Linked DNA regions of Rhinolophus ferrumequinum. The protein of the gene in region 1 interacts with the protein of each later gene in a biochemical or structural test. Links are inferred from orthologs where the notes say so. Each region holds a gene or a part of one and is shown in the gene's direction. Other genes may lie near its edges. The genes, in order: TNRC6B, AGO1 and AGO2.

Evidence for each region.
Region 2: the proteins of TNRC6B (region 1) and AGO1 form a complex in vitro, tested with the Homo sapiens proteins (2 studies listed by BioGRID and IntAct). The link is inferred for Rhinolophus ferrumequinum from reciprocal best matches to the Homo sapiens genes TNRC6B and AGO1.
Region 3: the proteins of TNRC6B (region 1) and AGO2 form a complex in vitro, tested with the Homo sapiens proteins (3 studies listed by BioGRID and IntAct, with this or other methods). The link is inferred for Rhinolophus ferrumequinum from reciprocal best matches to the Homo sapiens genes TNRC6B and AGO2.

What each region holds. Positions count from the first base shown.
Region 1 is NC_046293.1:7,522,811-7,530,023, reverse strand, and holds the start of TNRC6B (trinucleotide repeat-containing gene 6B protein), read left to right. Parts: upstream 1-4,162; 5' UTR 4,163-4,175; coding exon 4,176-4,220; intron 4,221-7,213.
Region 2 is NC_046292.1:24,903,508-24,910,722, forward strand, and holds the start of AGO1 (protein argonaute-1), read left to right. Parts: upstream 1-4,161; 5' UTR 4,162-4,377; coding exon 4,378-4,402; intron 4,403-7,215.
Region 3 is NC_046297.1:71,130,467-71,137,992, reverse strand, and holds the start of AGO2 (protein argonaute-2), read left to right. Parts: upstream 1-4,515; 5' UTR 4,516-4,608; coding exon 4,609-4,630; intron 4,631-7,526.

The sequences.
Region 1 (7,213 bases):
CTTTTTATTGCTGAGTAGTTTTCTAGTAGGTGGATGTACCATGGTTTTGGTTATCTATTCACCAGTTGATGGACATTTGGATTGTTTCCACTTCGGGCTATTATGAATAATTGCTGCTGTGAATATTCACATACACAAATGTTTGTTTTAATATTACATAAATAATTAATAACCAAATGAGAAAATCGGGAAATTTCATTGCAAAATATTTTAACCCCCAAGTTAAAATTTTATCTTAGACCATATCAGATTGCATTTTTACATTATATTAATTCTTTATGGTCCCTTAAAGGCCTTTACAGACTTGCAATTCAACAATAATCCTGGTGTTTTTAAGGTAATGAAACCTCATATAGTAAAGATTCACACTTAACAATATATTTTCATAGTCATTATTCGAGCCTCACACAATAGTCTCACAACTGTAGGTAGGACAAGTACTATTATTTGTCCCTCATCTGTTGTTCTCAGAGGGAGTCTCCACCTATATTCTGAGGTCATTGCTGCAGGAGCCTCATCCAGACTGTACGTCCAGTTTGTGGTCTACGGTACACACAGGATAGGGCAACATCAGGGACTACTCTTCTATGTGATACAGACCCACATCTGGAGTCTCTGTAGTTTATTCATGCACAGATACTCATGGAGCACCTAGTACGTGCCCGGCTCTATGATGGATGATGGGGGTTGAGATGTGAAAGATTTAACTCTCCAGAAGTTATCCGTAAGAGCTGTATACAAGCACATACCCTATGTTACGGAGCCGTGGGAACCCAGAGCAAGAGTAGGTATGGGGGAGGGGCTGTGGGGGTAGGCAGGACATTACCAGTGTGTTATTGATAATAATATTAGCTAACACCTAGTTAGTAATAATAGCTAATGCCTAGTGCTTACTCTCTCCCAGGCATGTTCCGAGCACTTTGCATACACTTCTCCATTTCATCTTCACAACCACCCAGTGAGGCAGGTCATATTTTTATCCTATTTTACAGATGAAGAAGTTACAAAACTAAGGTTGGTAAGTTGACCAAGGTCACCTTACCAGTAAATGGCAGGTCTGGAATTTGAACCAAGCAATGTGCCTCTAGACTCTGTGTCTCCTGAAGAAGTTTCTCACAGGAGATGACATCCAGCCTGTGTCTTGAGTGACAGTTTGTACTTAGTCTGGCAGGAGATTGGGATATGTCTACATGGTTTTTTAGACAGAGAAATATCATGAGTTAAGGTAAAAAGGAAGCACAGGTTGAGAGCAAGTATGGCAGACTACTTGTGAAGAATGGTGGGTGGCAAGAGATGAGACTAGAAAGATCGGACTGGACAATGAAGGGCCAGATGCCGTCTAAGGAGCTTGGTCCTGTGATCTCATTTTTAATGTTATACCAAAGATACCAGTTTTCTTAGTAATTATTTTCTTTTTCTTGCTTTCATTCTTCTTTATTGTGAAATATATCACAGAACCAGAAAAGTACATAAAATGCAAATGTAAAACTTAATGAATCGTTTTAAAAAACTACCTCTCAGGTCAAGAAATAGGACATTGCTGGGACACTGTAGCCCCTTTTTAGTGACCTTTGCTAGTCATTACCCCTGCCTTCCCACCTACAAGTAACTGCTCTTCTGATTTCTTTCTTTTCTTTCTACTTTTACTACTCATGTGTACCTCTAAACATTATAGTTCGGGCTGATTCTGAACACAGAGTCACATGCTATGAATTTTTTTGTATCTGGTCATTATGTTTGCGAGATTCACCCATGTTGTTGTGGGCTGCTGCTTCATTTTCGGTGCTGTATGGTATTCCATTTTATGAATATGCCAGAATGCATATTTATCTGTTTCACTATTGAGAATACTTGGGTTGTTCCCAGTTAGAAACTATTGTGAATGGTGCTGCTCTGAATATTTTTATACATGTCTTTTGGTGCACATGTCCATGAATTCTGCAGGGTATAAAGCTGGGAGTGTCATTGCTGGATCATGAAGTGTGTTTGTCTTTAACTTTAGAAGAATAATGCCAAACTGTATTCCAAAGTGGATATAACAACTCACACTCACACAAGTGGAGTATCAGAGTTCCTTCTGTTCCGTATCCTCAGCAATATTTGTTATTACCGTGTTTCCCTGAAAATAAGACCTACCTCAAAAATAAGCCCCAGTTAAGATTGTCAGCCAGATGGATGCATTTAGTATGTTCTGACGATGTTCCAGAAGAAGATGACGTGACTGTATTTGGATAAATGTAGACTGTTGTATCTGAAAAACTAAGACGTCCCCTGAAAATACGCCCTAATGCATCTTTTGTAACAAAAATTAATGTAAGACCTGGTCTTATTTTCAGGGAAACATGGTAGCAGACTACCATGTCAGCTAAAATTTGTAGCTATTCTGGCATCATCATGATTTTCTTTTGTATTTTCTTTTGTACTTTCTCACTTACTATTGAGGCTTGACATTTTTTCGGATGTTTATTGGCCATTTAGATTGTGTAGTTTTTTTGTTTGTTTGTTTGTTTGGTAATGTGCCTCATCTAATCTCTTCCCCATTTTCCTATTGAGTTATGTCTTTTGTTTTTAACTTTTAGAACTCTCTGTTATTTCGAATATGAGCCCTTTATTGGTTTTATGTGTTCTACTTTCTCACTTTCTTATGTCTTTTGATGAACAAAAATTCTGAATTTTCATATAGTCATATTTATTTTTTAGTAATAGGTACTTTTTGTGTCCTGTGTAAGAGAGCCCTCCCTACTCCTGTGTTATCTTCAAAAAGCTTTATTATTTATCTTTCACATTTGGGTGTGTAGTTCACCTGAAATTGATTTTTGTATATGTTAATTCCTAATTAACTTGTTAGTACTCCTCTGCCTTCAAAATACTTTTTACATTTTGTCCAGATTTTCTGATTGTCCTCAGCATTAGTTGGTCTGAATTACCTAGTTTACCATTCCCAGAGCAGAAATCTTTCAGAGTTTTAGTTTCACTTTGACTTCAGAATGGTCTGTTCTGTAAAGGGGCCTTAATAAATATGTTTACTACAAAAAACAAAAAAAAAACAACTGAAAAACTATATAGAGTCATGCTTTTTTCTGTTTTTTTTTAATTTAAGAGATCAAAAAAGAAGCTTCTGTTTCATCTGCTTTTCTCAACTATAAAATATTGTTAAGACAAGTGAAAACTTGCTGCATAAAATGAACAATTGTGCTTATTGCATATTAATTTTAGAGAATTAATCATGGTAAAATTTTAAATTAAAAACATCCATTATCAAACATTGACTTTGATGATAAAAACAGTTTAACCATGGGTATAGCCACCTCCCTTTCTCTGTCTGTCCACATAATTAAACCTCCCTTTTGGCCAGAGATGGACTGTATGCAAACCACATCCAGAATGCTTTTAGTTTGTGCCACAAAATATGAAGAAAATGTTTTCATTTTATGGCAACTAGATCCGTGACATATGAAGCTGCAGGAACTGTTTTTACAAGTGCACAAGATGCCCGGGAACGGGGGAGCAGACTCCCATGATTATTGGCAGGAAAAACCTGGCTACGTGGCTGATGTTAAATCTGCTTTTTACGACAGCCAGACCAAGAAATGTCTCCCGTATTGGAGCTGGTAGCAGTGAGATGATTTTTCACTCAGTAAACACAGCCTCGGGAAGCCATGCGAGGCAGTTTCTCGTGAGCCATTTACAGCTTCTAGGAGGAGAGCACAGTGTAGGCGCCACAGAGGAAACCCTGACGTGGCCTTCAGGGAATGTTGCTGGGGGACTTGCTGAGGGAGAGGCTCCTTGTCCCGCTGTCACCAGAACCCCACCTTGCCCTGCCGTTTGTCTCTCTGAGATTCACAATGGAGGTGAGCTAGATTGTAGCTCCAAAATGTTAGGAGTAAGAGTTGCGTACGTGGAAGTTAATGGCTTTCGAACCACACACTTCCTTCCTGCCCAGCCCTTGCTTATTAGATCACAGAACCCATTTTCTTTCTCTTTTAAAATTAATAATTAGCCAAAATTTGGTCTGGGGATCCCTCCCCGTTCCCCAATCCAGACCCTTTCAGGGGGTGTGTGAAGTCACAACTGTTTTATTAGTACTAAGATGATAAGCCTTTTAACTCATTCTCTCATGATTGTGCAGTGGAGTTTTCCAGAGGCTACGTGACATGTGAGACGCAAAGGATTGAATGCAGAAGCAGATCCTAGGGGCCAGCTGTTGTCTCTTAAGCCAGGTAGTAAAGATATCTGCAAAAATGTAAACAGTGGCACTTTTCTCAAAATTTTTATCCTTTAAAATATTTTTAATTTAAAAATGTTTAACATGTAATTGTTTAATATTTTTAAATGAATAGTTACGAATAAATATTTTTAAATTTTCATAGTTTAATTTTTAATGTGGTAAATACTGACAATTAATCCACATGAACAAAAGCTCTTTGGGGTTCTCAGTAATTTTTAAAATTCTGAAGCAGTCCTGAGACCAAAAAGTTTGAGAATCATTGCGTTAACCGCTGTCAGTTCCAGTTGGAATCCCAGTTTCTCTCTGAGGGCTGCATAGCTTGTCTAGCCCACTTTTTCTCTGTGTTCTCTAAATTTCTGTGCCGCACAGCTTCATGCTTGGTTTTTGTGGAATTGTTTGGCGTGCTAGTTTTCTCCTCCTTATCAGTAGTGTAAGACCTCTGAGGACAGGGATATCTTAAGTGAGAGGTTTTTGAGACGTTCATGATATATACTGCTGAGCACAGCATAAACAGTTGGTAATGGTTATTCGTATTATTATTTTCAATATCAATATTAAAATTTCCCAAACTCACTGGTTTATTGTAGAACCGAGACGCAGTTAAAATTTTGTGAACCTTAGTAGAAATAGCTATTTGATTAAAAAAAACTCATTAAATTAATATACAATATGGAAAAAGAATAAAGGGTTTTTGATCATAGATCATCAATAATTGGCTATAAAAGCTGAGCGTGTTAATCTATTTAATTTTTATGTGTCCAACAATGGCAGTAAAACCTGGCCACAGGCTCTTGTTGATGGCCATAGGCCGAGCGTAGTGCTGGGCGCTTAGTAAGCGTTCAGCAAAGCTGTTGAGTAGCTGCTTCTGCCCTTCTTATTACGGCTAGTCCCTGCCATCCCCGCCCCTACCGCCAAGTGACTAGCAGTTGGTTTAGTCTTCAGAAGGTAGCGTGCCTTTCTGGTAAAGAATTGGCAAATTGTCCTGGACTAAGCTAGAGAGCATTAATTAATTGACCAAACTGGGTTAGTAGCTGAAGGTGAGGCACTTGCCTTTGTCTTCACCCCGCTTCAGACTGAGTTTGTTTTTCTCAGGCAACCCTTGCTAAGAAGATGTAAAAATAAATTTAACATCTTTATGCCAGGATCCTGCTATTAGTTCCAAAGTTTGCGCACAGGCTCTCCCTGGAAGTCTGAGGGTCTCACGCAAATACCACACTGGCCTGAGATCCTGGCATTACTTTACCATGGTGTTCTAGAACAGAGCATGGTACCTGGTAGGTGGCTCATTCACTGAATGAATGAATGAATGAATGAATGAATGAATGAATGAATGGAGTCTGTACTGTAGCCCTGGACATACAGTTATAACTTATAAGCAGTGTCCTTATTTGAATAAACCAAGACTATTGCATTGAGTTTACTTTATTTTTTCCCCCAAAGTGTGTTTTTATTCCATAAGAGTTTATGGGGATGTCCTTTGCACTAGCACTGTTTTAAATGATGGTGATACAGTGATAAATCAGGCTCAGAGCCTGTCTTCAGGAAGCTAATAACCTAGTAGTATACACAGCGTACACAAGCCTCGTGGAAATATGTGCCAAGCACAGTTGCTAACTCAGAGGAAGGACCCATCCTGTAGCAAGAGAGAGGAATCAAGAAAGACTTCCTAGAAAAGGTTTCTCTATGCCTGCATCTTGAAGGTTGAAAAAGAATTTGCCTTGTGAGTGGGAAGACAGTCCAGGTGGAAATGGCATGTACAGGGTCAGAGGCACGTGAAACCATGCGGTGCTTAAGGGACACTGACAGCAGTGTGGTTTTGTGAGATGAAGCCGAGAGGTGAACTGGTACGGGGCCTTGTAGACCACACAGTGGGAATGGGACTTTCTCTCGAAGATGGATGAGAGACATTGCAAGGGCAGTGTGGGTTTGCACTTTGTAAAGGTGATTCTCATGGCAGCGGAGGTGGGGTTGGTCTTGAGGGTAAGAAAACAATTTAAAAAACAGTTGGAATAAATCTGATGAGAAACTATTGCAAAACTAAGGCCATGGCAGTAGGAACGGGGAAGAAAATACACACGGAAATATGTGGGGATTAGAATTGATAGAGTTTGGTGAGAAGATGATGCTGGTCATGGTCCCAGATTTTTCTTTTCTTTTTTTTTTTTTTAAAGATTTTATTGGGGAAGGGGAACAGGACTTTTATTGGGGAACAGTGTGTACTTCCAGGACTTTTTTTTTTTTTTTTCCAAGTCAAGTTGTTGTCCTTTCAATCTTAGTTGTGGAGGGCGCAGCTCAGCTCCAGGTCCAGTTGCCAGTTGCTAGTTGCAGGGGGCGCAGCCCACCATCCTGCTGGAAGGAGTCGAACCGGCAACCTTGTGGTTGAGAGGCCACGCTCCAACCAACGGAGCCATCCGGGAGCTCAGCGGCAGCTCAGCTCAAGGTGCCCTGTTCAATCTTAGTTGCAGGGGGCGGAGCCCACCATCCCTTGTGGGACTCGAGGAATCGAACCGGCAACCTTGTGGTCGAGAGCCCACTGGCCCATGTGGGAATCGAACCGGCAGTCTTCAGAGTTAGGAGCATGGAGCTCTAACTGCCTGAGCCACCGGGCCGGTCCCCAGATTTTTCTTTGAGTGAGATGATAGTATAATATTTCCAAGTGAGACAGAAGGAGGATACAGTTTGGGGGAAGGTTATTTTAGTTTTAGTTATGTTATGGGGACCCGTGGGACATGAGGTGGAGAAGTCCCCTGACATTCGTATGTCCCCATACAAAGGCAGTTGTATAGATAGATGGCCTTGAAGATTGTAGGAAAGGTCAACACTGGGGAGAGATTTGGGAGTCATCAAGATACAGGTAGTAGTTAAATCTATAGGAGAGGATAAGGACATGTATATCTAATAAATGGAGAAAGGGGAGGATGAACTCTTGAGGAACATACCAGTAATGAAAGGACAAGCAGAGGAAGACTGTCCATCAAAAGGGAC
Region 2 (7,215 bases), on another chromosome or scaffold:
GATTTTAATTATTTTAAGACTGGATATTAAAATGTATCAAATATTTTTATCTATGATAATTGTTTATTTTTGATTAATCACATATATTGTATATTATATTAAGATTTTTTAATTTTTGAACCATCCCTGAATTACCCTTGTGTTGATATGCTATTCTTTTAATAATAATGTCATATAGTGTTGTGGTTAAGAATGTTGATACTGAAGCCATCGAGCCTGGATTCAAGTTCTGCCTCTGCTAGTTGCAAGCTGTGTTATCTTGATCTTGGGCAAGTTACTTATCCTCTCTGTGTCTCTATCGCTTTTTTTTTTTTAATGTCTGATCTTATTTATTTGTTAGTCTTAGGAAATCTCATTTTTGACTGAATTGCAGGTTCTGCTAACTCTTTTGGGCCCCAGGTGATGTGGCACAGTCATATCTATGTCTTCATTTATTATTATTATCATAATTTTAATTAATCTGTTATAGAATTCTATATGCTAACATTTGACTTGTGATGTTTGCATCCACATTCCTGAGAATTCTTTTTATAATATCATCATCTGATAAGAGATGAGGATCTTTATCTGCTATTCTGAACAAATTAGGAAAATTCCCCTTTTCCCCATGTTCTAAAACCATTCAAATAACGTGGAACAGGATTAACTCTTTCAAGAATGTTTGGAAATATTAAACAGTGAAACTCCTGAGCCTGGTGTTCTTTGGTTATTTTTGATAACTTTCTCAGCGTCTTCCTTAATTGTTGCTCAACTCTTGCTTTTGAGTCCTTGCTTTGCATTTTTTAAAGTAAAAATATATATGTAATTTAAATTAAATCTCTGTGATGAGTTTTAAAATTTAGGAGTGATAAATATGTTCAATGTCTCAATTGTGGTGATGTTTCATAAGTTGATACATATGGTAGAATTAATTACATTGTACACTATATAAGTGCAGTTTATTGTGTCAATTATACTTCAATTTAAAAAAGTGATTTAAAAATGTCTACCAATTTCACAAGTCTTTACAAAGTACTAGCTGACATTTATTAATTCCATTGTTCATGATTTCTGATTTTTAAAATTATCTTCTGAAATACATTAAAAGATGTATTTTGTTATAGATAGAAAGAGGTGGTGCATGCAAGAGCTGTTGGTGATTCATTTCCTGATAGTAGGGTATACATTTTGTTTTATGTCTATTATACCACCTTGATTTTATTGTTCCCAGGCTGTTTTTTAAATATTAAGGAAAGGAAAATATAGATTGAGATGCAGATTTTTCTTCAGGCCATACTTGTTGTTTTGGGACCAGGAAACTCTGGGTATAGAGAAGGTATAAAAGTGGAAGGACCTGGGCTCTGGCCCACTCAGCAGATGCCCTAGGGTGTGAGTTAGCTATGGACTGAGATGCAAGAATGGAACTGGAAACAGAGGCAACCAATAGCTTTCTGGAAGAAAAGCTATCAACAGTTACTGGAAGAATTTCTCAGCATAAAACAGCAAAATGCTATCTGGATTTCCCTTATATTCTACCACTTTGCCTAGCCAAGAGTAAAATCCCTGATGATGGAGACACTGCAGAGAGACCCGGAGAGCCCAGGGCCCGGCTTGACTCTGCTAGCCACTTTGGACCTGGGTCAGAATAGTGACCAACGGCTTTCCACAAAGTTGAGTGTGAGGCTTGGTATTTAGAACAGGGGATTCAAACTCTCATGGAATGCTGAGCTTCCAGCTTAGTTATACCAAGGTAAAGGTCTTGGCTATTTCTGGGGATGTTTTGATGCCATCTATTTGATTCAAATCAATCCAGATTTACTGATCATTCTAGGCACAGCTTGTGCCAGCCACTAAAGGGTGACAGAAATGCATCTGATGTGGTCCCTGTTGTTAAAGAACTTAGACTATAGTGCAAGAAGCAGCCAATAATTACTGTGTTTCCCCGAAAATACGACCTAGCCGGACAATCAGCTCTAATGCGTCTTTTGGAGCAAAAATTAATGTAAGACCCTGTCTTATTTTACTAGAATATAAGAACGGGTATAATATAATATAATATAATATAATATAATATAATATAATATAAATATACCAGGTATAATATAATATAATACCGGTCTTATATTAATTGTTGCTCCAAAAGATGCATTAGAGCTGATTGTCTGGCTAGGTCTTATTTTCAGGGAAACATGGTACAGTATGATAGCAGCTGACACTTTGCCTGCATTCTTCTATGCACTGTTCTGAGGTCTTTATATGTATTAACAACAGCCCAATGAGGTGGAAGGAAATGAGGGAGAAGGAAACTGAGACACAGATAAGTTATTTTCCTAGTGTTACACAGCTTGTGAATGGTAGCACCTGGATTGAAACCCAAACAGTTTGGCTCAAGAGTCTTTGTTTTTAACTTTATCCTGTACAGCAGTGGTTCTCAAAGTGTGGTACCCAGATTGGCAGCTTCAGCCTCACCTGGAAACTTATTAGAAATGCACGTTCTTGGGTCCCACCCAAGACCTACTGAATCACAAGCTCTGGAACTGGGGCTCTGCAATCAGTGTTGTAACAGGTTCTCCAGGTTATTCTAATGCCTGCTGTTTGAGAACCTCTGTTAGAGAGAAGCAAGGCATACTATGATGAGTGTCAGAAATTAATCTCTCTATGGGTAGGGACTGGGTGTGTGAGATCTGTCTCTTAAGTTCCTTGCCCTCAGCGCAGCATCTAGTGTAAAGTAGGCATAAAAAAATACATATGGATGAATACATATGAATAAATATAAGGGAAAGTGATGTTTGAACTGGGTTTCTTACCAAGTATCAACTGCAGCAGACCGAATGGGAGGACTCTTCCCAGAACCTGTGAGACTAGCGAGGAAGTGGTGTGATACTTTTGGCAAGGTGTAATAAGGGTCTGTACTATCACAAGGAACCATCAGAATGGCAGGGGATCATGTAAGAGTAGTTTAGGAGGTAAACATGTCAGGACTTGGTGAAAAGCTGAATAGGGGGAAGAAGCAAGGGAGAGAAACTTCATTTCTGGGATGAAGGTGCCATTTGCAGAGACAAGAAGCATAGGACAAGCATGTTTGTGGGGTAAAGATAAAGAGTTTGGTTTTGGACTCTAAATTTGAAGTACTGGTAGGATATCCAGGTGGAGCTGTCCAGCAGACACTTGGAAATATGAGTCTGAGACTTGGCTGGAAATAGAGATTTGGAAGGATAGTTGAGCCGTAAGAATGGGTGAGACCTTCAAGGGGAAAGTGGAGAGTGGAATGAGAAGAGAGCTGGGTTTGAAACCATGGGGAACACTGTTATTTAGGGGGGCAAAAGCAAAAGGGGGCTCTTGATTAAGACCGAAAAGGAGGTAAGCAATAATAGGAAATCTCAGAAAATACTGAAGCCAAGTAGAGGGCTCAAAAAAGAAGGAGAGACACAGTGTCAGATGTTGCAGAGAAATAAGAATTGAAAATTATCCTTTGAATTTTGACACAAAAAGTCTTTTAAGTGAAGTGGCGAGGACACGCAGATTGAGTTCAGGCGTGAGCTGTAGATGAGAAAGTGGAGACCGGTGCTTGCCAGGTCCCACAGACAGAACTCTGTAGCTGCAGTCAAGTTGAAACTGTGACATCGTCCAGGGTAGTAAGCAGGTCTCTTTCATTATCTGTGGTCTCTGTGCCCAGCACTCGGCCTGGAAATGAGGATGGCATCAGTGAATTCAGTGACTAGGGACGGAAAAAGGCTTCAGGGAGGCAGTAGCTTTGCAGCCAAGGGGTGAAGGATGAAAGAAATGGGGAGGCGAGGTGGTAGGCAGAGCCGCGGGGTGATGGGTTGCACGGAGAATGTGAAGCGGGCCTTGGAATGAAGTAGGGTTCCTGTAATGTGCGCGTGGCTCTGTGCAAAGCGGGGAGGCTCTGTGTAGGCTGGGAGGGAGCTGTTTGGGTGAAAGACAGGGCCGGAGGCTGCTGCGGGGGGTGTCCCCCCGCCCTGCGCCACTTACGCCACTGCGCGGTTCCGCTGCGCCTCTACCCAAGCCCTCCGGCCGGGCTGCATGGCGACGGGTGACCGCCAGGGGCCGCTGCCTCGGTCCCGGGTGCCCCCGCCCCTCTCCATTGGCCTTTGTTGCCGTCGGAGCGCCCCGCTTGACTCGTTCCCGTCCGCCCCCTGGGCCTGGCGGTCGCGCCTGCGCACTGGCAGCTGGCCGGGCGCTCGCAGGGGGAGCTGCTGCAGGCTCCGCGGCGGCGGCGGCAACGGAGGCTGTGGGGGTGGCGGCGCGAGCGGCCGGGCTTCGGGGGGGAGCCGAGCCCGGCCCGGGAGCCCGAGCAGCTAGAGTGCAGGGTACCTAGGCCCCTCACGCTGGACTCCACAGTCTCCCGGCCGCCTGACCTCCGCACGGGTATATGGGATGGAAGCGGGACCCTCGGGAGCAGGTAAGGGCCCCCGGGAAGGGGGGACGGTGCGTGCTCCAAAGGACCAAGGGACTCCCGCGTGCAGAGCAGTAAATCCGAGTCAGGGAAGGTTTCTTGAGTGAGGAGAGGGGCTCTTGTGGGATGGGGGGCCCAGTTTGAAGGGGGCTGTGTGCAGTTCCGGGGGAAACCTGGTGAAGGGAGCCCTGAGATCGGGGCCGTTTATCAAAGGAGGCACTATGCACTCCTGGAGGTGGGAAGTAATCTGGGAGAAGGGCCTGAACGCACGTAAGGACTCCCGGAGGTCCCTGGAGGCCTAGGGAGAGGCCCGGCAGGTGGCACGGGGCGGGCTCCAGGTGTCCAGGAGAGGAGGGGGTCGACACAGATGGGCCCAGAACTGCCGCATGCCGGGGGCGGGGGCTCAGCCGGTCTGGGCTGGGTTAGTGTCTCTTGGGAGAAGGCGCCAGAGCTGGACTGTGAGCTCCGCCCCAGCCGGGCCTGACGCGGGGGCGAGGGTCAGGGGGCGGTGGGTGGGGATCCAGCCCTGGGATTCCACCCGGTGAGTCCGGGGAGCTGGAGCAGAGGCGCTGGAGCATGCGCGGAGGTGGCAGCTGGAAGGGGCAGCCCTATGTGGTGGGGGCGTGGCTGCCCGAATCTCCCCAACTCCCCACCCCGCGCGATTTGGCTTGGAAATAAGAGCGCGCCGATGGGGGTGCATTCTCTCTAAGGTTATGCTGGCAGAGCGCAAATGGAAATGGTCCCCTTCCTCATCTTGGGGCTTCTTAACCCTTGGCAAAACCCTCAGTCACAATTTGCCAAGAATGAGTTGAGGGAAACTGCCAAAGTGCCTTATTCTGCCACTGGGACAAGGAAAGACAAGGCAGTGTTCTTGGGGCGGGGCCTCCCTAAAGATAGGCCTTAGGAAAGGTATTGATTACTGAGGGACCAAGGCCAGGCAGGCCCTGGTTTACCTGGAAGAGGTTGTCTGCCTGGTCTAATAGCGAGTAGAGATGGGATCATTTAATCAAAGGATAATGACCTTTCCATTGAAATATCTCCTGAGGTGACAGCCTAATCTCATTCTATACCTTAACACTTTTATTGCTCCTATCTCCCACTGGATATCTTTTTCCTCTCTCTAATCCCCAGAAACTGTCAGGGCCATGTCATTTGACCTAAGATTGCCAAGCTAGCCCTTTGTCATCTATCAGTTGTTTGGGGGAGGAGGGGTTTATAACCTTCACCCTGGTGAGTTCAGGTGATGATAGCCTTACTTTCTCCTTGTTCATGGGCAATCAGGAGAAAAGGAGATAAAAACAGGAGAAACTGAGGCTGGACTGCCCCACGAAGACTGGAGTCTCCAGAATGGGCTGTGGGATGGTGGCACCACCTGTGTCCTGTCCTTTGATGGGAGGAGCATTCTGGACCTGGGACTCCTTTAGGTCGTATCTCACCAGCTCCTACCATTTGATCTGGGGGTGGGAGTAGGGTTTCCTTTGGGGACTTGAATTTCATTTCTGGTGGAAGAATCTTTGTCTTTTATACCAGATCTAATCCCCTCAAGGCACTAGCTCCTACCAACTCATTCAAGTCATCCATTCAGAGATCTGTAAGTACTTTCCTCCAAGAGAAAACAACCTTGGAAAGGCTGTATAGGTCTTAAGGTGGAGTGCAGGGAGCAACAGACTTCAGAAAACTACTTCCTCCTTCCCTCAGGCCCCTTTCTCCATTCCAGGAACTCTCCTGGTTTTCTAGGCTGGAGACTTTGCAACAACCTGTGGACTAGAGTAGGAGTAGGTCACAGGTCCAGATAGATTGCTGGGAGTTGACACCCATGCCAGACTGCTAATGATTTTATTCTGATGAATTCCTAATGGGCTCTGGAGTGATGAAAAAACTGTTTCTTCCAATAAATAAGCTTCTAGGGAAGGGACTAGAGCTTGGTATCTGGAGTTGGCTGTAGCCTCGTGGGGCAGGCTTTGCTTCATCAAATGATGTAACTGAAATTCATTTTGGAAGCTATCAATAGAGGTACCCACATAAGTGCGTCCTTCTTAGGCCCAGACTAGTCTCTTGGAAGTTGGAGGACACAATACACAAAACTAAGGTATTGTTGCTGGCTTCACTGGGCCTAAGTCCAAGTGTGCCTTCTGTGCTCAGGTGTGTTCCAAACACATACTAGACTGGTAGCTCCCTGAAGGTACAGGTAGTGTCTAATTTATCTGTGAAACCAGCACATGTGTAGGTCCTGACACAAAGTACATGTTTATTAACTGAACTGAGTCCAGTCCAGAGTGACATAAATGGTTAAGCACGTATGTGAATATTTAATAATTTGCGTATACTTATGTGTGGACAAATTCTTTTTGGAGAGATTGGCCTCTTAGTCTTTGCTTACTGACAGCTAACCTAGCCTTGAGTTTGTCTTTTGAATAGGCTGTCTGGCTCCTTGGGAGTTTTGTGGGCCTCAGAAACTGCAGGGAAAGAATCCCTGAGCCAGGCATTTCAGCTCTGTTACTTTTCCTTCTCAGGGCTGGTTGGGATGGGGGAGGGGGAGTGTCCTTTTCACGGCCCCTCCCTCCTTGCTTTTGTCTGTAAGGAAGGGCCCCGCCCCTTTCCCCCAAGGCCCAAGCTTTGTCCTCTGTGCTGGGGCCCTCATCTGCATCACAAAGTGGCCGTCTGTCCCTGTCTGGGTCTGAAGGGAAGTGTCTCCCTTTCTCAGACTAAAAGCTGGGGGCTGGGGCACTTTCTACAGCTGTAAGGCTTGCGGAGGGATGGAATTGGAGAGAGCTTCCCCCTTCCTCCTGCCTTCCCTAGTTTTGGGATGAGGAAGCATG
Region 3 (7,526 bases), on another chromosome or scaffold:
AAGTTGCATCCTCCACAGCCACATTCTTCTCCAAGACCTTTTGTAGAAAATGAATTTGAGTTTGCAACCCTTGATGTTATAGCAGAAGCAAGACTTTGTGGCATCTTGCACACGCTGTCACTGTTTTTATTTTAGGCATTGTAGTGGGTGTGTATTGTTGTCTTACTGTGGCTGGAACTTGCATTTTCCTAATGGTCAGTGATGTGGAACATCTTTCCATCTTATTTGTTTTTCAGGTTACCTATTTGAGCTCTTACCCTCCGTATCTCCTCTTTAGTGAAATCTCTCTCCAGGTCTTTTGCCCCTATTCTAAATGAAGTTTGTTTTTTTACTGTTGAGTTTTGAGGGTTCTTTATATATTCTAGATACTTTGTCAGATGTGCGGTATACAAATATTTTCTCCCACTCGATAGCTCATCTTTTGACCCTTTTAACCGGGCCTTTCACAGAGCAAAAGCTTGAATTTTGATGAAGTCCAGTGTACCCACTTTTCCTGTTACGGATTGTGATTTTTGGTGTCAAGTGTAAGAACTATTTGCCTAGCCCTAGATCCCAAAGATTTTTCTCCTGATTTTTTGTCTGTTTTATGTTCACATTTAAATCTTCCCTCCATTGAGAGTCAGTTTTTCAGTGTCCTCACGTTAGTGACAGCTTGGTTCTTCTCTCCTTACTACACAGAAGAAAGAACCGTCGTGGAGCCAGCCGACAGTGTCTCAGGAGCACTGCTGGATGAGCCCCTCTTGCAGTTCTGTGTCCCAGTGAGTGATACCCTCTGCAGACCGCGGTGTCAGTGGCCTCGGGGTCTGTGCAAGGAGGCAGCCCTGACCGCCTGCCTCTGTTGGGTGCACAAAATGACAAAGTGATCTGCGTTCAGACTCAGTGGTTTCCGTGTGGAGAAATGGCTGCCACGTGGACTCTGTTCCTACTTTGATGGAAGTATTTGTCAATCCACAACCACACTCTTGGGTTTTCAATTCAGACAGACAGCTGATATTTTTATCCAAACGATCTTTAAACATTAGAGCTGCAAGAGATCATAGATTTCTACCTCAGTGTTTCCCAAAGTGTGCTCCATGGAACCCGAAGGTGCCCTGGGATAAACGGGTTCTGTCGCGGAATAGATTTGGGACAGGCTGCATAGGGTCTTTTCTCTTCCTTCCTCTTTGTAGAATCCTGATTCTTAATCTTTTGTTAAAGGCTCTGTGAAGGCTGGCGGTCAATAAATCCGTTTGGTGTTGTTTAACTGAATGATTCCCAATTTATTGGACCTTCTAACTCCTCTTTTATCACGTGCAGACATGTTTTTGGAACAATCGAATTATTCCAGTGTCGTGAAGAAGCGTAGGGCCTCTTGAGTTGAGAGCGTCGTGGGTGGGATGACCGCAGGAGGGCGCTGTGCGCTTGGCCTCCCCGCGCGGAACTGCTCTAGACCGCGGCACCCAATGCGCAAACCGGGGCTGACCAGCATGGGGGACCCTGGCAGTGATTAGGCCCTGCAGTCTTAGCAGAGCATAGGGACCCCTGTATCAGGGAGAGAGACTGGGCCCCGGAAGACCCGTGAGTCGGCCCTGTGGGGCCAACATCCAGGTGTTGGTTGAAGGCCTGACGAAACCGGGCAGCGGCAGTTGGATGCGGTTCTAGAGCCATGTTAAGCCAGAATTGAGTGGACTCGAGTAAGTGGGTTAAATGGATTCACGGATTGCGGTAGAGGTAGCAGGCAGAGGCCCTGGGGTTTCTTCGGTGGATGGTGAGTGTTGGCTCTGCTGGGGGCACAGGAGAAGGAGCAGGTGGGGAGGACGGCTGAGCTGCTGAACTTGGTTTGATGCTTGTGGGCCTGGAGCTGCGGGGCCGGGGGCAGGAAAGGGGTGGGATTCCTCAGCACAGGCAGTGGGGGGTAAAGTCTGGGAGAGGAGGGCACAGGGGAACCCCAGTCCTAGCAGCGGGGGGCAGGAGAACCCCACCCAGATCCTGGGCTCACGGGTCTGGAGGGCCCGGCAGGCCGCAATAGCGCTCCTCCACCAGCAGGGATCGCGCGTGTCAATCTCGGCGGGGCAGTGACACAAAGAAACGCCTGAGAGATACTATCTTGCCAGACCTCCTGCAAAGGAACCCTGGCAACAAACTTAAACCCGCCTGGGCTCTCCCAGAAGCAGGGCGCTGAGGGAAGGAGATGAAACAGTTTTCCGGTGGTTTCCAGAGGCCATAGGTTACAGCAGAAGCAGCAGAGCGTTTAAGCCTCTGAGTCATTGGGGATTTCGGGGAGGCGACACTGTGCTGGGTGTGTAAGACAGAGACACACCTCGGAGGGTCATGGTTCATACACAGTGGAGTCATGTCTGGTATGTTACAATGTTTCGGTTGTGAACTATAGTAAAGGTACAGAAAAGTATATAGAAAGTAAATGTACAGCTTAGGAGACTTGCCAAACCAACAGTAGTGGTACCGGAATGAGAGTGCCCGGCACCCCAAAATCCCCCAAGGCCTCTGGTCACAGCAACCCCCTGCCGCCAACCAGTACCCACCATTCTGATTCTTATGGTAACCACCTCCTTTTTCCTTAGCTCTTAATTACTTAATTATGCATCCCTGACCCATGTGGTTTCATGGCTCCTGCTTTGGAACTTCATAACTGGGATTCTGCAGGGAGTGTGGCCTGTGGCTTCTTTCACCAACATTGCTGAGATGCGGGTCACACTTAGCTGAAGGGTGTTCGTTCTCACTGGGTTCACCTTTATGAATATGTACGGCTCTCTGACCTGTTCCACGGCTGAGTACCTGGGTGGTGCCCAGTCCTGTGCTCGGGGTCGCACATTCAGCAGCCTGTCCACCTGGGGCCCGGTGGTCAGCTCTGCCAGACACTGGTCTTCAAAATGATTGTACTCAGTCCCACTCTCGCAGTAACACTCGAGGAAGAACCTGAAGGGGGTGAAGTAGAAGATTCTGGCAAAGCAGGTAGGGCTGTGTCACAGGGCACTGGAAACCAAATGGAGAGTGTGGACCACGTGCGTACGGAAATGGGGAGCCAATGAAGGATTTGGAGCAAAGCAGGCACAAGATCAGATGTGTGTTCACACAAGAGACTGTTGGGTGGAGAGTGGGTAATGGCGGAGAGTGATTTCAGGGGCTTTTCAGGTGCTCCAGACCACCTGGTCCGCCGTGAGGGTGGAGATGGTGGGCCGAGGATTAGAGAGTGATGGATGGGCATCTGGAAGACTGATTGATGTCAATGATTTGAAGATTGATGTCCCTTTAAGTTTCTCTCTGGAGGAAATGCTGGTTTTCCTGCCCTTCTTTAGGGAGATCCTTGAGGGTTGCCGAAGAACTGGTGATGAACCTATTGCATGCCGACCTCCTTGCAAGCGGGACTCCAGTTCACGTCCACGTTACCCTCCGCGGGAGGAACACGCCGCTCCTAGCAACCAGTAGCAGATGATACAAGTTTATAGAGTGAAGAAGCGAGCGAGCAAGGATGTTACAAGGTGATGAGCACCTCTGCACTGTTTCACCTACGATTAGGGGAGAAAGGAGGTTCCCGTTGGCTGCCCTGGAAAAGGCTCCAAAATACCGCTGGACCCCGGGGGACGTGAAGGACGGAGGATGTGGGTACGAGGGAGGAGTTCCGACGCAGGTGGGGCAGGTACAGAAACGCACGCAGGAGCACGATGGGGACCCGTGTGAAGAGCCTGGGGAGACCCCTGAGTGCTGGCCCGGGGAGTTTTAGTCTGATCGCGTCGTTGACGGCATCTGAAATTTACCGAAACTTAGTAAGAATTTTTTTACATGGATTTTCTGGGTTCTTGGCCGGGAGGTGGCGGTGTGGTCGTGTACGAGGGCCGGACGCGTTCCAGTTCAAACTCCGGGTGGGAAGCTAGCTTCCCGACATTCAGGTTTGGTTAATAACTTAAAAAAAAAAAAAAAAAAAAAAAAAGGCCAGGCTGAGACGCTGGGCCCCCAACCCGTGCCCAAGTGCACCCGGCCGGGTGGGGTGAGGATGGAGAGGGTCATGCGCGCCCCCCTCCACACCCCGCGAACAACCAGAAGGGGGTCCCCACGAGCCCGGAGGCGGCGGGGAAACAAGGGCTGTTTTCTCGTCTTTCTCCCAGGTCTCCGGCAGCGACGCCGAGCTGGCCCTGCTCCGCCCCGGCAGAGGCCACGTCGCCCATCTGAGTGGCTGTGAGGGGTCCCCCCCCCCCCCCCCCGCTCCGCGCCGCCCCCGTCCCCGTCCCGGTCCCGCCCCAGGCCGGGTCCTGGATCCCCGCCCGCCCCCAGTTTCCACCGCCCCGCGGGGTCCCCGCCCGGGCCCCCCAGACTCGCGCGCGCCCGGCTCCCCTTCCCTTCTCCCGCCTGCGCTCGCGCCTCCCTCCTCCCCCGCCCTCTCCTCCCTCGCCCCTCCCTCTCCCCGCCCCGCCCCCTCCCTCCTCCCCTCCCCCTCCCGCCGCCGCCGCCGCCTCCGCCCGCCGCCCGGGCCGCGTCGGGTAAACCTGTTTGGCCAGGCGGCCGCGCTGGGGCGGATCGTGCGGCCGGCGGCTCCCTCGCGGCTCGCGGCGTCGGGGCCCGTGGCGCGCGCGCGGCCGCCCCTCGGCCCCGGAGCCCCTCGGCGGCGCCACCATGTACTCGGGAGCCGGCACCGGTGAGTCCTCGCGCGCGGCGCGGGGAGCGGTTGGCGGGCGGGCGCGAGCGCGGCGCGGGCCGGGCCCGGGCGGCGGGCGGGCGGCGGTTCGGGGCCGGGAACCGGGGCCCGGAGCCGCCGGCCGTTCCCCGATCCCGGCGCAGCCGCTCAGCCCGGCCTTCTCGGGCCGGGTCGTCGGGGCGCCCCCGCGGCCTGGGCCTCCCGCGTCCCCGTCGCCGCCTGGGGCCCCGCGGGCCGGGACCAGGGCCGGGCGGGCGCGTGTAGGCCCGAGGCCCGCGTGTGGGCCCCGCGCCGCCGGGTCGGGCGCGGAGGCCGGGCTCTGAGCGCCGAGGACGCAGGCCCGGGTCGGGGCGCGGGGCGCGGGGCGCGGGGCGCGGGGCGCGGGGCGCGGGCGGCGGGAGAGGAGGCGGCGAGGCTGGAGCGCACTCAGTTTCGTTTTTCTTGTTGCCAGCACTTCTGCGGCCCCTTCTCTGAAGGAAAGTCTGCAGATGCTGAATTTTGGCCAATTGCTGTTGGTAGTTCGGATTGTAAACTGAGAGGGATAGGAAGCGGTCCCCTGAACCCTGAAACTGCATGCGGCTCAGTCTCATTCCAGACACGCCAGCCCCTTATTCAAGTGCTAATTGCCTTTTCCAATTTGCTAGGAGAGGTAAGGAGATGTGTTGATTTCCTTAGCACCCCTTCTTACTAGTCAGCCTTTTCCTTTGGAGAAGTTCTAAAAAACTTAAAATGCTAAAAGCGGTAACACATTGCCCCCACCTTTTTTAAATGCACAGTTAGAAGGACCATTGACTTGCTCGTCCAAGAAAATGGTCCAGTGTTATAAAGCTTTATCGCTGCCTCCCGCCAGGCACGTGGCTTCTAAATTTCCCGCTGGCCCTGCCACTTGCACAGGGTATTGCCTGTCCCCTTTGTCCGCCAGGCTGGAGCAAGCTGCAGGCCCCACGGGCTCCATGCTAGGGGGCTCTGGCCCTGTGCTAGGTGTGTCCCAGGCCTGGGCCCTTGACGGCCTCCTGCCATGGGGCCCTGGCCCCACCTGTTCCAGACCTGCTCCAGATCTCCAGTCTGGAAGCCCCTCTTGATCCGCTCGGGTCCCTTGACATTGTCTCCCACTGTGTGTCTGTTCACAAACAGATCTATGTCTGTGACTTCTGAGTGTCTTTTTTCTGATGTCACTTAGCTTCTCCAAGGCTGAGCCTGACAAACTCTTAAGGGCACTCAGCAAGTTGACTGAAGAATGACTTTAACCCTCCACCTGGGAGGGGACTCAGCCCTTGTGGGGAATGGGCCTGGACTCTTGCTGTTACTGTCCTGGGGCATATTTGGCTTCTTGAGATTCTGGGCGGTGCCCCCCACCCCCATCTGTGACTTGGCCGGGTCGCCCCTCTCCCAGATGATCCTTGTAGAGGACCCAGCAAGTGTTTGCTGCCCCACTGGACATGTTTCCTGGTTTTCGGTTTAAAAGTCGAAGGCCTGGAGAAAGTGAAGAACCTTGAGGAAGGTCAAGTTTTTGTGTTGTGTTTCACGGTATTGAATCTGCGGGACAGCTTGCTAAGTTGGTGGTGTTCATCATGACAGAGGCTCAGAGAGGTTAAGACCTTGCCAAGGTCATAGGACCAGCGAGCATTAGGACGATCTGTCTGATCCCCAAGCTGACTCTCTGTGCACTGTCCTCAGAGAGTAGTGGCTGTCAGTCTTTTGACTTTGACCCACAGTGAGAAATACCTGTTACATCTGGACTAGAGTGGGGTGTGAGTACACACAGGTATCGTTGAAACTGGAGCTTCTGGAGGCACCGCTCACCTTACTGCATAACCTGCATCATGAGATTTCCTCGTCTGTTTCATTTTTTTTTTTAAATGCTTTAGTCCCGTCCATCTCCTGGCTCCCTTTTCTGGTCGCTGAGGGCTTTTGGAAGACTCTTGCTGTGGTGCAGGCCTCCGTGCTGTGCATGGTGGGAGAGGGCCGTGCTGCACAGACCAGCGTGCCCTGCAGCCGGCCAGCGGAGCCTGAGAAAATAAATGGGTCTGGATAGTTCTTAGATAATGGCAGGATGGGACTGAACCCAACTTTCAAGCTGTATGAGTGAGCTGTAATTACAAGGCTGTGGTGGCACACGATTTTATTCTACACACTAAGGCTTTTAATTTTTGGACTAGAGTCTCCTCAATGAAACTCTTTTTAATATTATATTTCTTAATTTAGAATAACGAGAAGACATTCGATCTGGATTGTACAAAAATTACAAACAGTTTTGCTACTTCCAATTTTAATACACTTACTAAGCGACTTACCCAGTAAATTAATTTTTAAAATAGAGTTCACAGTAGGTCTCTTATGCCCATCGTCACTGCTCGAGCGCATGCGTGAATATCTGGACTCTCAGGTTAGGTATGTTACTATTCGTCTTTTGTTTAACTGTTCGAAAGAGTTAGTGGTTTGGGGTGGGTGGATTCGCCAGTGACCGTGAACCTTCCTGGGTGAACCAATGAGTTTCGTTTTGTTTATTTAACCCTTTCATGACCTTAGCCTGTGTCTGAGCAAATGCCTTCTGTGAGGGCATCGTTGGTCTCACTGTGTTTCGACTCCTGGGGGTCACCACTCCACTCAGATAGGCTACAAAGTAACCTTGGGGACACCGAGGCTCCTTGGAGAATGGTCCAGGCAGGATGGTGACTTGGAGAAGTAACGGCTTCCATCGTGGTTTCTAACTCCTCCTGCACCCCACTTCGTCTCCCCACCCTCGGTTATCTCAGGGAAGATAGGACCCATCTCCCACTAGTGGAGCACGCGGGCCATCGCGGCAGATGGCCTCTGCCCTGGTGCGGAGGGCGGTGGGTAGTTGTACAGAGTCCCCTTGGATCTGTTACAAACCTTGAAGAAGAAGTTAAATAAG